Cricetulus griseus: one gene and its partners. The protein of the gene in region 3 interacts with the protein of the main gene of each other region in a biochemical or structural test. Links are inferred from orthologs where the notes say so. Each region holds a gene or a part of one and is shown on either strand. Other genes may lie near its edges.

Region 1 (4,195 bases), on a different chromosome or scaffold from region 3:
AGCACCATCCCTCTCTGAGACTCCTCAAGTCCCTTCTCTGAAATCTAGAGACGAGACGAGTGGACCAGTGAGTCAGTTCAGTGGCAAAGGCACTTGCTGTTTAAGCTTGACCACCCATGTTTGATCCCGGGAACCCACATGGTGAAAGGGGACAACTGTCCCGTGCAGTTTGTCCTCTGACCTCCACATTCCCCCCACCCCCCCACAAGAACACAGTAAGTAAATAAGCATGTCTTAACAATGAAATGCGGAGAAGGACTGGTCCCCCTTCGGACGCTGCCTGAACTGGGCCCCCGGAGCTGGTTTGGCACTCTTTGCCCCACTGCTTCACTCCAATAGCTCTGTCAGCAGGCAGGAAGCATTTTTAGGCTGCGGTTTATGTAATTGGACGCTAACCAGAGTTCTTTGAGAAGCTCTCAAACTGCAAACATTTTGTCAACACCTAGTTCAGATGCAAGCGCTGTCTCCTTCAAAAGATGCCCACATGAGAAAAAACTAGAGGCCTTTTTACCAAGGCCTGGCTTTTCCTTGGCTGAGCCTCTGCAAGGGGCAGCGGGAAGTGTGGGGGGAACCTCCAGGTGGTGGTGGGTGGGGACATTTGGAGCCACCAGAAACAGGACAACGCTGAGGACATCATTTCTTCTGGAATCCTACTGCTGGTTTCAAGGCTGTTTTTCCTCTTGAAGAAGCAGAGGGGATGTCATGGCTTTCTCAAAGTCTCCTCCACCCCAAATACCCCCTAGGGATCTTGTTAATGAGCAGGCACTATCTAGGGTGGAGTTTGGGGTTCTATTTTTCTAATCAGTTGCTTGCCCCAGGAGCAGTAAGGGGTCTTGCCCAGCACCCATCGTGTATCAGCCCAGGACAGAGGCGGACCACAGGGATTAACAGCAAAGGATATGAATGTACCAGGATCTTCACTGCCGCTCTGCGTACGGGGTGGAAGGGGCTAAGGACGTACAAGGCATTGGTGGCGCTGAATCGGAAGATGGTTTTGCCCTTATTCAGCACGATGAAGGTCTGTAGACAGAGGGAGACAGCTGTCATCTCAGAGCCCCAGGTCGAGGCTAAGGGGCAGGGAAGCAGGAAAGGAAGTGAGACCCCATGCCTGGGCCGTGAGTGAAGAGGGGGAAGGTGGAGTCTGGGTGATGTCAGGTTGGTTGAGATTTTCTTTAGTTTCAGAATTACCATCTCAGCCAGGACCCTTTCAGGGGGTGTGGTGGCACACACCTATAATCACGGGAGAAGAGGCCTGAAGCCCACCCAGCCTGGACTCCATCCTTAGGCTCACCTACTGCCTGTCCCTCTACTGGTCTCATCTGACTCCAACCTAATCCTCTCTATTCCTCTCATGGTGACCTAGACTCTCTCAGCCATGTCCCTAACCCCAATCCCAATCCAGTCATCTCTGACCGTCCATGACCTAAGTCCACCTACCCACTCACCCAATTCACCTCTGGCCTAATAACTCTCACACTCATGCCCAACCCTGACTGACTCTAGTCACTTGAACCGGGAGTTCTGGAAGCTTCACAGTAGCCCCAGGCCAGCTTTCCTGACAGCGGGGACTGAGTGTGTGGGTCTCCACATCCATAGCTGATCACACACGCAGCCCTGTATGTGCACACACATACACACACAGATACACACACAGAGAGACACACGCTACACACACACACACACACACACACACACACACACACACACACACACAGGCTCCTAGTCTCCCAAAAGTTGTCTCTGACCATGCTGACAGACACACTGACACTCGTTACATGAACCCTCACACTGACTACGGTTGTCTTTCGCTCTGCTCTTAGCTTGGAGCTGACCATAGCTCTGGTGCCTGGCCTTCAGGGAAGTACTTTCTCCAGATTCCAGCCAGTTGTCCCACTACCAACCCCCCCCCCCAATTAGGCTCAGAAGTGAGGATAGTCGGGTGGCCTGAAGAGGAGGCCAGGGCAGGGTCTTGGAGAAACAACACCCCCTTCCCTCTCCGGGGGAGCCATGATGACAGAACAGGTCTTTCCCACAATTCCATGCCTCAGCAGTCGCGGCCTCTTCTCCCCTCTCAGCCTTTCATGGCCTCTGTGGTTCAGGGGAGGCCATACGGCCCAGGAATCTGAGACCACTGTGGCTCAGCTTGAGCCAGCTGGCTCTCTGAGCTGCCAGAAGGATGGGAGGAGCACACACCACTTTTATTTAGAAGGGAGACCACACAGGGCTTTACTCCAAGTGCTCACCCGTCTAGGAACAGGAAGGAGTACCCTAGAGGTACACACCAAAGCACTACATGAGAAGGAAAGACTTCTGTGGTCTTCCTGCCCCCAAGTTAGGGCCCCAAACACCACTATTTATGTCTTCACCCCAGAACTCCAAATTTAAGGTGACTGGAATATAGATCAGTGGTAAGTCACTCCCCCAAAGCCCAGGGGAGCCAGCCCCACACAGAACCCCACATGAGCAGAGCCCCATCTGCCTGCTGTCTTCCTAGGAGCTACCTAGAAGGGTGAGGAGGGTGTTGAGGGGGTGGCAGTCACCTTCTGGGTACTATAGAAAGGGTCCAGATCTTCCAGGGGCTCCCCGATGAGCTCTCGGGGTGGGTTGCCATAGAGATCTGGCAGCTTTTTAGAGGCCTGCAGGTCCAGCTGGGGCTGGGGAGCTTCCTCCTCTGGCAGGCCCTCACGACTCTCCTGTGACGTGGCCGAACCTCGGGCCTGCTTTTCCGCCATGCGCTTCTCGATGGCCGCCAGAGACTCCCGGGTGAACCTACGGAAGCTGCTGGTGCCCCGAGGTAACAGGAAGTTTGCCATCTTCTCATCCTGCTTCTGGGGGCACAGGATCTCCTCAGGCTGCCTGGGGGGAAGCTGGAAGACACAGACATGTGTGTGAGGGGGTGCCCCAGGCAGAGGGCAGGGCGGTCGGCCAGCTATGCTGGAGCAGGAAAGGACAAAATTTGCAAAGTGTACAGGGTTCCCAGCTGCCAATCACTGGTCAGGCACACATGATTGACAGTGGCTGGGGTACACACGTATGCTCTCCACTGTGGTGTGTGTGTGTGTGTGTGAGAGAGAGAGAGAGAGAGAGAGAGAGAGAGAGAGAGAGAGAGAGAGAGAGAGAGACAGACAGACAGAGAGACAGAGAGACAGAGAGAGACAGAGAGAGAGAGAGAGAGAGAGAAAGAGAGAGAGAGAGAGAGAGAGGGAGGGAGAGGGAGGAGATGTCACTGAACTGGCAATGTGTGTGTCTGAAAACCAGCGGTCAAGGGAAAATGTTCCATCATGAGTTTACCCTGCCCACTTCCCACACAAGAAACATCTCAACTGTCCTCTTTCAAGACTCTCCCATCCCCAACTGGCTCCCTGGGCTCCATGGGACAGGATGGACAGAGGCCATTTGTTTTATCCCAGACCCTGACAGAATGGATCTTCTGCTCCCGCATGAAAGGTGAAACACATGCAAATGTCGGGGGTCCTACCCTTCCTCACCAGGGAATATTCCCAGCCTGAGGGGTGTCCAGTTCTCACAGTCACCATGCCCACCCATGAGGTGGCACACACCATGCCCGCCCATGAGGTGTTACACACCAAACCTGGGCACAAGAGGCAGCAACTGAGAGGACATCAGCGTTCACCCCAAGGGACCCAGGAAAACCCTGCGGATTTTCAGAAACATCTGGGCAGCAGCAGAGGAGTCGGCATCCAAATGTTGGCACACTGGTGTGCACAGCTGTGCAGACCTCCTGATGAGGATCCCATGGGATCCCCTGGGGACAGCGCCATCCCTAACTAGACTGATTCTAAAGATGGGGAATGGGGGGGGGGCTGTGGCTCATCACACTGCCCCACTTCCCCCACAAGAGAGGACAAACAAATGCCAATCCCAAGGAGACCGGAAGACAGTGACCACTACTGAAGAGGACGTCCAACAGACACGTGTGTGATGTCAAACCGGGAGAATGTGGCCCCTGGCGGCCTCAAAAGATTCAGGACCTGGTGCAAACACACTCTGTCTATGACAGCAAGGCAGAAGAATGCATTCTGACTGGCTCACCAAAACAGGATGTGGCCAGAGGGCTCCTGACTATGACACGAAGCCAGGGGGCTGCACCTCTAATTACCACATCAAACCCGGGAATGGCTGGGCACCGGCTCAAGAGGGCAGACTGGACACCTGCTGGAGATCTCTGCCAGGG
Region 2 (3,989 bases), about 67 Mb from region 3:
TCAAGAGCAGAACAGAACAGATGGAGAAAGATAGTACATGCCCCGCAGGCAGGAAGCAGCCCCAGGAACTGGGGTCTGAGCCCAGCATTGGCAGCCCTGTACACTGCTGGAGCCTGGGGGCCAAGTGCCAGGACACCGCTAGCCCTCCGCCAAGGCTGGACAAGGGCCCTGCGGACTGAGAAGTTTGTGCCAACATCCGGAGCTGCTCTTGGAGTACCTGCCACCTGTGCCAGTTTAAACCTAGCCCATGCTCATCTTTAAGTCTCCATTGCTTGGTAGGAAACAGCAAGAGCCCTGAGTTCCAATCCTGCCCCACATATTAATGCAGGTGCCAGCATTTCTAAATTCAGCTGTCCCCTCTGAAAATGGGAGTCATAATTTCTATCTTGAGAAGTTGTGAAAATTAAAGTCATATAACATCCATGGACACCAGATAGTGAAGCCTGGCAGGATAGGGCCTGGAGACCAGACTCTCTTGTTTTTGCCCAAACCAAGAAAACCCAGGCAGCATCCTCACCCACACTTCGGACTGGTTTATTCCACCTGGGCCCAGCAGCCCACTTTTTGGTGATAGCAATGGGAAGGCAGGGCAATTCAGATCCCAAACCTCTTTTGCCAAATGCCCCTGCCAGCCCCCTTACCTGCTTCCTTCCTGGCTAGAAGCTGCCCACAATGGCGCCAGTACCTGCGGGTCAGGCACATGTATCGCTTACATGCCATCTGCACTAAGAACAGCAAGGCCCTGTTCTCAAGTAAGAATGCACACCCTCACTGCCCCATGGCTCCTGTTACCCAGACAATAACACCCAGTCCACTGGCACCTCCATGGCCCGGGGGGAGGGGACACCAACAGCAGTACCCAGGGTTTTGCACCTTGTCAGGCCCAGGAAGCAGATTTAGAAGTGCATTTGTGGCAGTGAAAAGAGAAGCCCAAGAGAGCCGGAACATGGACTACGGGCCACTCAGCATTTCTGAAGTAAAACTCATTGTAAACTCCTCTCCCCATCCCAGGAAATCCGACAGTCTCCTCTCCCCAAATTCAGGTGCAACAGTGTTCAAACTAAGAAGTTTCCGGTTTAACCTGGCCCCTATGAAGCTGGCTGTGGCCTCAGGATTTCCCAAAGGGAAGCAGGAAGTGCTGCCCTGGAGGAGGCCAGGGCTACCAGATCTCTACCCTCCCTGCTAGTGTAACACTGTGAATCGCCAGGCTAAGTCCCTCCCTAACCATACCCAGCTCAGCTCGACCTTCCTCTGGAGGCCCAGGTGGCAGGGGCGTGCCCAGGCAAAGGAATACACCTCTGAGCCTTCCCGCAGGCCTTGTGCCCAGCCCTGAGGTGGGGGGGAAGGCAACAGGGGCTGCACAGGGCAGTGCTCCTCACCTACCAGGGTGAGTCAGCGAGAGAACCTCTGAGGGCTGTGTAGGGCCTGTAAAAACCCCATGGCAGGGATCCCAGAACAATTTACTCCAAATTGCGCCTTCAGGTTGGTTACCTAATCCAGCCGCGCCCACCCTCCAATAGCCAGTGTAGCCCATCCCTTTAAAGGGGCAGCATGCTCTGGGTGCCTGAAGACCTGGGGTCCCCACTGTGGATCCCTCTACCTGTGGCCCTGACAGGCAGGACCGATGGTGACTGCCCTGAGGTCCCAAACATAGGTAAGGGTTCAAGCCAGCAGAAAGATCATCTAGGTTCTGGGGTCAAGTGAGGTCTCCATCTGTCTTCTGTACCCTAACAGCTCCAGTTAAGGCAAAGTTTCACCTGCCTCCTTCCCAGTATGAGAGCAGGGCAAAGTTTTCAACTTGCTGGTTTAAGACTTGACCTTGATCCCAGGGTCACTGGACACCACCAAAAGTGGCCTCCTACATGCTCAGGGTTGGACCACAAAGCCCTGGTAGGATAGGAGCTGCTTCTGGGAGAGACTAGATGGTAGAAGCCACACTGCCCAAGGGCCCAGCCTTTTCTCCAGGAAAGGAAGAAGGAGGGAGAGAGGAAGACGGATGCGGGGTCTCTTCCCCAGAGACAATCTTCACAAGGTCTAAGGGCTCTCCCCTCTCTTCAGCATAACCTGAAGGAGGAGACCCGTGTGTCATTAGCATTAGGGCAAAGGAAACCAGGAGGTCCCCACTCCAGAGGTGGTAAAATCCCACATTCCATAACTGCCACGGTCCAGAAGGGCTACCTTCCTAAGGTCAGAAGTGGAGGAACGAAGAGAGCTCTTGAAGAGAAGATACGGGGAGAAACCAGATTCCCATGATCCTTGTCTCTAACAGAACCTCAGACATCTGACCCAAGCCTTTCCCTTCTGCAATGACTGGGGCAACTCCCACAGCTCCCAAAAGATGATAAGCGGGACGAGTCCTAGGGGTGCTTAGGGTGTCAAATCTCGAGAGCCCGTGGGGTTCCCTCTCCTGGCTACTGCAAGGAGGTACTGAGCGTCCAGCAGAACCGTGCCCTGCACACGCACACCCGGAGCACAGGGGGGTGGAGCCGGCCAGTGGGCTAGAGACCAGAGGGCACTCGCGTCCTCGCGGGGCTGCAGAGACGACGCGGGCCGCCCCGCCCCTGTGCGGATCCGCGGGCTGGCCGGCCGGCCGCCGCCGCCTGTCCCCCGCCCCTCTCACTCACCTCCGGGTCCAGCGGCACCAGCTCCATGAGCGGCCAGGGCTCCTTGAGCTGGGCGAGCGGCATCGCGCCGCCGCCGACCCGCTCGCGCTGCTCTCGGCGGCCCCGGGCTGCGCTGCCTCCGGGCCCCGGGGTCCCCGGCGCTGCACTGAGACCCCCCGCGCGCCCGCGCCCTCGCGCTCCGGCTGGGCCGTCCGCCGCCGCCGCCGCCGCGGCACTCGCACTTCGGCTCCCTCCGTCACCCGGCGCCGCCGCGCCCATTGGCTACCTGCGCGGGGGCGGGGCCTGGGCAGCCCCGCCCATCCCCACGGCGCGGCATTCCCGGCGCGGACCCCCGCCCCCAACGCGCTGGGAGTCGGCCCCGCCTTCCCTCGAGCCCCTGGCCCACTCGGGGCCCTGCCCGCCGGAGAGTCTGCGGCTTCCTTCTTCCCGGCCTGTGTGTCCCCGCGCAGACCCCGCCCGGGCCACCGTTGTCCCGTCCTCGCAGCATTTGGAATCTTAACCCAGATGTGCCTTCTCCCTCCAGCGGGAGGGGCTGCCACCCTACCAGGGATGTCCTGGGCCTGATCCAGACAGAGGCTTGGAAGGATCCGGGGCCGTGTGTCCTCAGGCTCTCCCTCCGCAAGCCTCCGCACAGCAGGGAGCCCACCTGGGGTCTCTTAAGTGATCCCCATGTCCCAGCGTCAGGACCCACAGCGCCCCCAGGGTGATTTCTCAACACGCATTTTTTCCCTCCCAGTCTGTGCCCTATCGCTTGAGGGCGCTGGTTTCAGGCCAGGTCCAGCGTCTCTTCCGCGCCAGGCCGGATGGTGGTCTGGTTTGAACTTGAAGCCCTGTGAAGAGGGCAAAGTCTAGGCCTAGTGGGGTCACGATTCCCTCAGGCAGGATTTGGCCTACGCCTAAAGAGGTCGTAGGGCCCAGGTGTGGTCTCAGGTGAGATAGCCCAACGACAAGCTGGTTAGTTTCCTAAAAGCCTCCTGCCGTGTGTGTGTGTTTGTGTGTGTGTGTGTGTGTGTATGTGTGTGTGTGTGTGTTTGTGTGTGTGTGTGTGTGTGTGTGAGTGTGTGTGTGTGTGTGTGTGTGTGTGTGTGTCTGTGAGTGTGTTTGTGTTCCCTTGCTTAGTTGGTTCTGGGTATGGGAGCCAGGCTTTGCACGCTAAGTTGCATTTGGTACCATGGACCTATACCTCCAGGTGGCTTGTGATTCTCTTGAGAACTCACCACCTCCTACTAGACACTCAGAAATAGGAAGTGATTTATCCAAAGTCACACAGGATCGGGAGTACATTCGTCTTTAGAAGGGTGTGGGATGGACTTGTGAGACGGCTCAATGGGTAAATGAGCTTGCCTGCGAGACCGATGCTGTGGG
Region 3 (4,241 bases):
AAAGCAGAGCGTATCACAACTAATTCTACTGAAAGGGGAGACACGTCAACCCAGACAATACATGGTGGCATTTCTGGTTGGCACATGGAAAGGGCTGCAGCAAGAACCAATTGAGCAAATACCAGGGAGGCTGCTTTGCACCCTATAATGCACAAGGGGCACCCACCGCAAAGAAGACACAAACCCACTGTGAGATGCCGACAAACCTTGATCCAAGTACTTAAGGTTAGGCATGGGAGCTCTGCAGCATCGGCATCTTCCCAGACAGGCTTTCCAACTCATTTGCAAGGCGGGTCATCTTGCAGAAACAGTTCTTTCTGCAAGTGGGGACCAAGTGTCAACTTCTGGAGTTTCTTAACTCCAGACTGCCTTTAAACAAGAGGCTCTCTGCTCCCCACCGTTCTGTTCAGTTGCTTTTCCAAAGCCTCAGCAGACCTTCTCCGGGGCACAAACACAGGCTCCGAAAATGCTTGCCTAATTCTAATTTCCTGACGAAATGGGAGCCACGAGGGTCTCTAACTGAATTAAAATCACATCACGCCAACTGCTCGCTTGCTTTGTGCCGGGCACAGAGCCAAACACCTCCACATCATTTATCCTACTTAATCCACCACCAACCAGGCGAGGTGGGCATTATTACTGCCTGCATGCAAGGGAGGAAATGGAGGATCAGGGAGGTTAAACTACTCGTCCAAGGTCACCAACTGGCCAAGGTAAAGAGCCCAACTTGAACCCAGGTCTCGCGTTTCCTAACCACAAGCTCCCTGCACCTTCATGGAACACCAGGTGCCAAGTTGTCTTAACTTCCCATGAATTTTTTAAAGGCAACCCTCAAGTTCGTAATAAGTTTGGGTGGCAGCAACCGGGGGCGAGGGTTTCCGGTTCTCTCTCCGCACAACGCAGCAATGTCACCGCAAGTTAACAGAGAAGCCACCCGGTCGCCCGCGGAACGGGGCGGATTGGATTAGCTCTGGAGTTCGTGCCAGGCCCAGGAAATGCCATCTTTGCAACTGGGAGGCGAACTGCGCCCCCCCAATTTGGGGGGCGAGCCTCGGGGGCCGCGGACGGATGGATCCCCGCGGCCGTGCGCCCCCTCGGCGAGGCTGACTATATCGCGGCGCCGGGCCCAGGGCTCAACCAGACTGGAGCGCACGCCCACGCCCGCGCCGCCGTGTCCTGAACGCCCAGCCCTGCGCCGTCCCCGCTCGCGCCCCGCCCCAGCCCCGCCAGGTGATCCGGGCCTGAGCGCCCCCCCAAGATGCCCGACGTGGCGCGGGGGACCCGGGGCTGCCAGCCCTCCCGCTAGTCCTCCCGCATGTCCGCCGCGCCCCGGGCCGGGTGGGGGTGGGGTGGCGCCCCGCGAGTCCCTGATCTCCGCAGCCAGCGCCCCGGCCCACCCCGCGGAGGTCCCAGCCGCCCATACCTGCAGCATCCGGGGGCGCGGGGCGCCCAGGTAGGTCGCGCGGACGGGCGGCGCGGAAGCTCGCTCGCGCCGCGACCTGGCCGCCGTCTGAGCATGCCCAGTGCAGCCCGCGGGCGGCTCCCGCCGGCCCGGCTGTGGCCGCGACGGGCCCGCGCGCGGGGCGGGGGACCCGGGACAGGGGCGGGCCCGGGGCAGGCTTGGGGCACGCTGCCATGCCCTTCGCGGGCCACCTGCCGACATCCCGCGGACCTCCGAGACCCCGGCTCACGTTCGCTGCCGTTCATACCTTAAGCATTTATTGAACACCTACTGTGTGCCTGACTTTCCGGGATTGCATGCCTAGGAATGGCAAGGACTTGGCGCTCAATGAATCTTTGAAATGACAGCGAGCTTGCACCGGGCTCCGTGGCTGAGTTGGGGATCTCGCTGACACTCCAGCACAGTCCTTTGCTGGTCCTAGGACGCCAAACAGGTTAGCCTGTCCCAAGGCCAGCAGGGGCCCTAGCTGGAGGGCGTTCCTGCCTGCCTCTTCCGCCTCCTCCCACACCTGCCTTCCTGCGCTCTGAGTGCACCTTCCTCTTCATCACACCCTCTGAACTTGACTCGCCTCGGGACGTTTGCGCTGCCTTTCCCTCGGGGTAGGACGTCTTTTCCCCAACTTAGCTGGTGCCCGGCGCCCTCTCACCGTACAGGTATCTTCCGTAGGAGAGGCCTTTCTGGCTACCTTTCTAAACTAGCCCTGACCTCTTGGCCACTCTCCACGTCCGTTATCGCCTTCCAAGCAAGTATCACGTATCCATTCAACAATTACTTACGTTCTTCACATTTAATAAATAGACAAAATTTCTGCCCCTTGCTGGGAGTTTGGAAGGGAGTCTCTCGCAACAAACAACAGGTCCGCAAACAACGCAGTGTATGAGGTGATAAATTCTTAAGAACGGGGTGGGGATGGTGGGGGAGAGAGCTGGGCAAGAAGGCTAGGGGGGTGGCCTGATGAGAGTTGGTGGAACAGCCGGATCAGGTGACAAATACCATTCAGTCACGCAGCTAAACGAGGAAGCTTTCCTAGGACGGAAAAGTCAGTGCCAAAACAAGGAGCGCAGGTGTTGTGCCTACGGCACGGGAAAGAGGGCACAGGGACAAACGGGGTCGGTTACTGGCTGTCTCTCTTGGCTTGGGTCCCCCGTAAGGAGTACCTCCCTTCAGTGTCAGTTCGGTAGCTCCGCCTCTCAAGAGACCTAACCTCTAAACAACTCTTGGCACAAACTAAAAACGTTTTTGTTGAATGAAGATTGCTAACCGGAGGATGTAGAGGTGGGTAGGACCCCTATAGTCGGATGTCCCGAGAACCTTTTGTCCCCTAGGCACCATGAGACCCTCGACCGTGCCTGGTTTACTGGTTTAGATCCCGGTCCCGGTCCCAAGGTAGTGCACCGCTGCGGGAGCCGCGGGAGCGTCGCGTCCGGGGAATTCCGACAGAGCCGGGAGTCCCGGGGGCTGCACTGCCTTGGCCCCGCCTAGGATCGTACGCAAAACCTGGAGCCACAGCGCCGTGGCAGCACCATTCGGACCGGCAGGGAGAGCACTGGGCATGCTCGGAGCCTGGGGCGCCCAGCGTCCGGAAGGAAAAACCCCCTGGAGGGGTTGGTGAGGCTGCACACCGAGTCCCACCTGGTCATCTCAGGCTCAGCCTTCTGCCTCCGGGCAGGGAGTGCTGGGTAACCTTCCTCCCCCAAGCATGGTGGGAAGACCATTCAGAGTCAGCTGACTGCACACTCTGTCCTCTACCAGCTGCTGTGTGATCTGCTACCAGAGCCTTGCGCTCTCTGTGCCCTAAATAATACAAATGCCTACGCTTGGATTCGGGGGCGTGTGGGGATTGGAAAAATAAAATAAAATAAAAAAGGACGTGAATTTATTCAGTCCACTTTAAATATTTACCCCTTGCTGAGGCTTGAATCCAGGGCTTTGCACACCATAAGCACGAATCTCTACCACTAGAAGCCTTACCCCAATATTCGTTTCGGAAGTGCCTATCTCAATTATGCCATCCTCTCGTAACACGGACTGCTAAGATGAGGCCTGGAGAATTCTTAGCGCTGTCCAGTTTAAAGTTGCTGGAGTAAAACCGTTACCTTTTCTCTGCTCATCATTGCTTAAGCAATGGTCTCAGATTCGAGCTAGAAAATAGCTGTGAACCTTAAATCCCTAAAGATTATTATTAATTTTTTGTTTTGTTTTTCGAGACAGGGTTTCTCTGTGTATCCTTGGCTGTCCTGGAACTCTCTCTGTAGACCAGGCTGGCCTCGATCTTCCACCTGTCTCTATCTCCCAGGTGCTGGAATTAAAGGCATGTGCTACCACCAACAAGCAAGATTTTTTTTTAAATTCGTATTTCAAATCACCATAACAGAACCAGGAACATAATAAAAGAAATAAAAGAATCCTCCTCCCCAACTGGAACAAAGCAGATGCTCAAAGGGAGGGTAATGATTGATTGTGTTCAGATCCATTCACTGAAATAATTACAACTAGATCTCTCGGGTCCTTGATATGGTTCAGTGGGTAAGGGCACTTGCAGACAAACTGACCTGAGATCAGTCAATCCCCAAGCCCCACCTGGTGGAAGACTGACTCCTGCAAGCAAGTTATGCTCTGATCTCCATGTGCATGCACATGCATACATACACACAATAAACAAATAAAATTATAACTTAAACTATTTCTATCACTATGCAACAACAGGAAACAACAAATGAAAATATTGAAAGCAACAAATTGTGAAAAGGTGGCATGGACACACCACTAAGAATGCAAA

The links. The genes of interacting proteins can lie anywhere in the genome.
Region 1: the proteins of Ptpn3 (region 3) and Scn5a form a complex in vitro, tested with the Homo sapiens proteins (2 studies listed by IntAct, with this or other methods). The link is inferred for Cricetulus griseus from reciprocal best matches to the Homo sapiens genes PTPN3 and SCN5A.
Region 2: the proteins of Ptpn3 (region 3) and Rps6ka1 interact in a test that uses a peptide from one of them, tested with the Homo sapiens proteins (2 studies listed by BioGRID and IntAct). The link is inferred for Cricetulus griseus from reciprocal best matches to the Homo sapiens genes PTPN3 and RPS6KA1.

What each region holds. Positions count from the first base shown.
Region 1 is NC_048597.1:226,640,137-226,644,331, forward strand, and holds the start of Scn5a (sodium channel protein type 5 subunit alpha), read right to left. Parts: upstream 2,814-4,195; coding exon 2,541-2,813; intron 1,021-2,540; coding exon 902-1,020; intron 1-901. UniProt on the Homo sapiens protein: Pore-forming subunit of Nav1.5, a voltage-gated sodium (Nav) channel that directly mediates the depolarizing phase of action potentials in excitable membranes.
Region 2 is NC_048595.1:19,392,965-19,396,953, reverse strand, and holds the start of Rps6ka1 (ribosomal protein S6 kinase alpha-1), read right to left. Parts: upstream 2,814-3,989; 5' UTR 2,688-2,813; coding exon 2,625-2,687; intron 1-2,624. UniProt on the Homo sapiens protein: Serine/threonine-protein kinase that acts downstream of ERK (MAPK1/ERK2 and MAPK3/ERK1) signaling and mediates mitogenic and stress-induced activation of the transcription factors CREB1, ETV1/ER81 and NR4A1/NUR77, regulates translation through RPS6 and EIF4B phosphorylation, and mediates cellular proliferation, survival, and differentiation by modulating mTOR signaling and repressing pro-apoptotic function of BAD and DAPK1.
Region 3 is NC_048595.1:86,575,361-86,579,601, reverse strand, and holds the start of Ptpn3 (tyrosine-protein phosphatase non-receptor type 3), read right to left. Parts: upstream 2,852-4,241; 5' UTR 2,239-2,851; intron 1,545-2,238; exon of another isoform or gene 1,424-1,544; intron 1-1,423.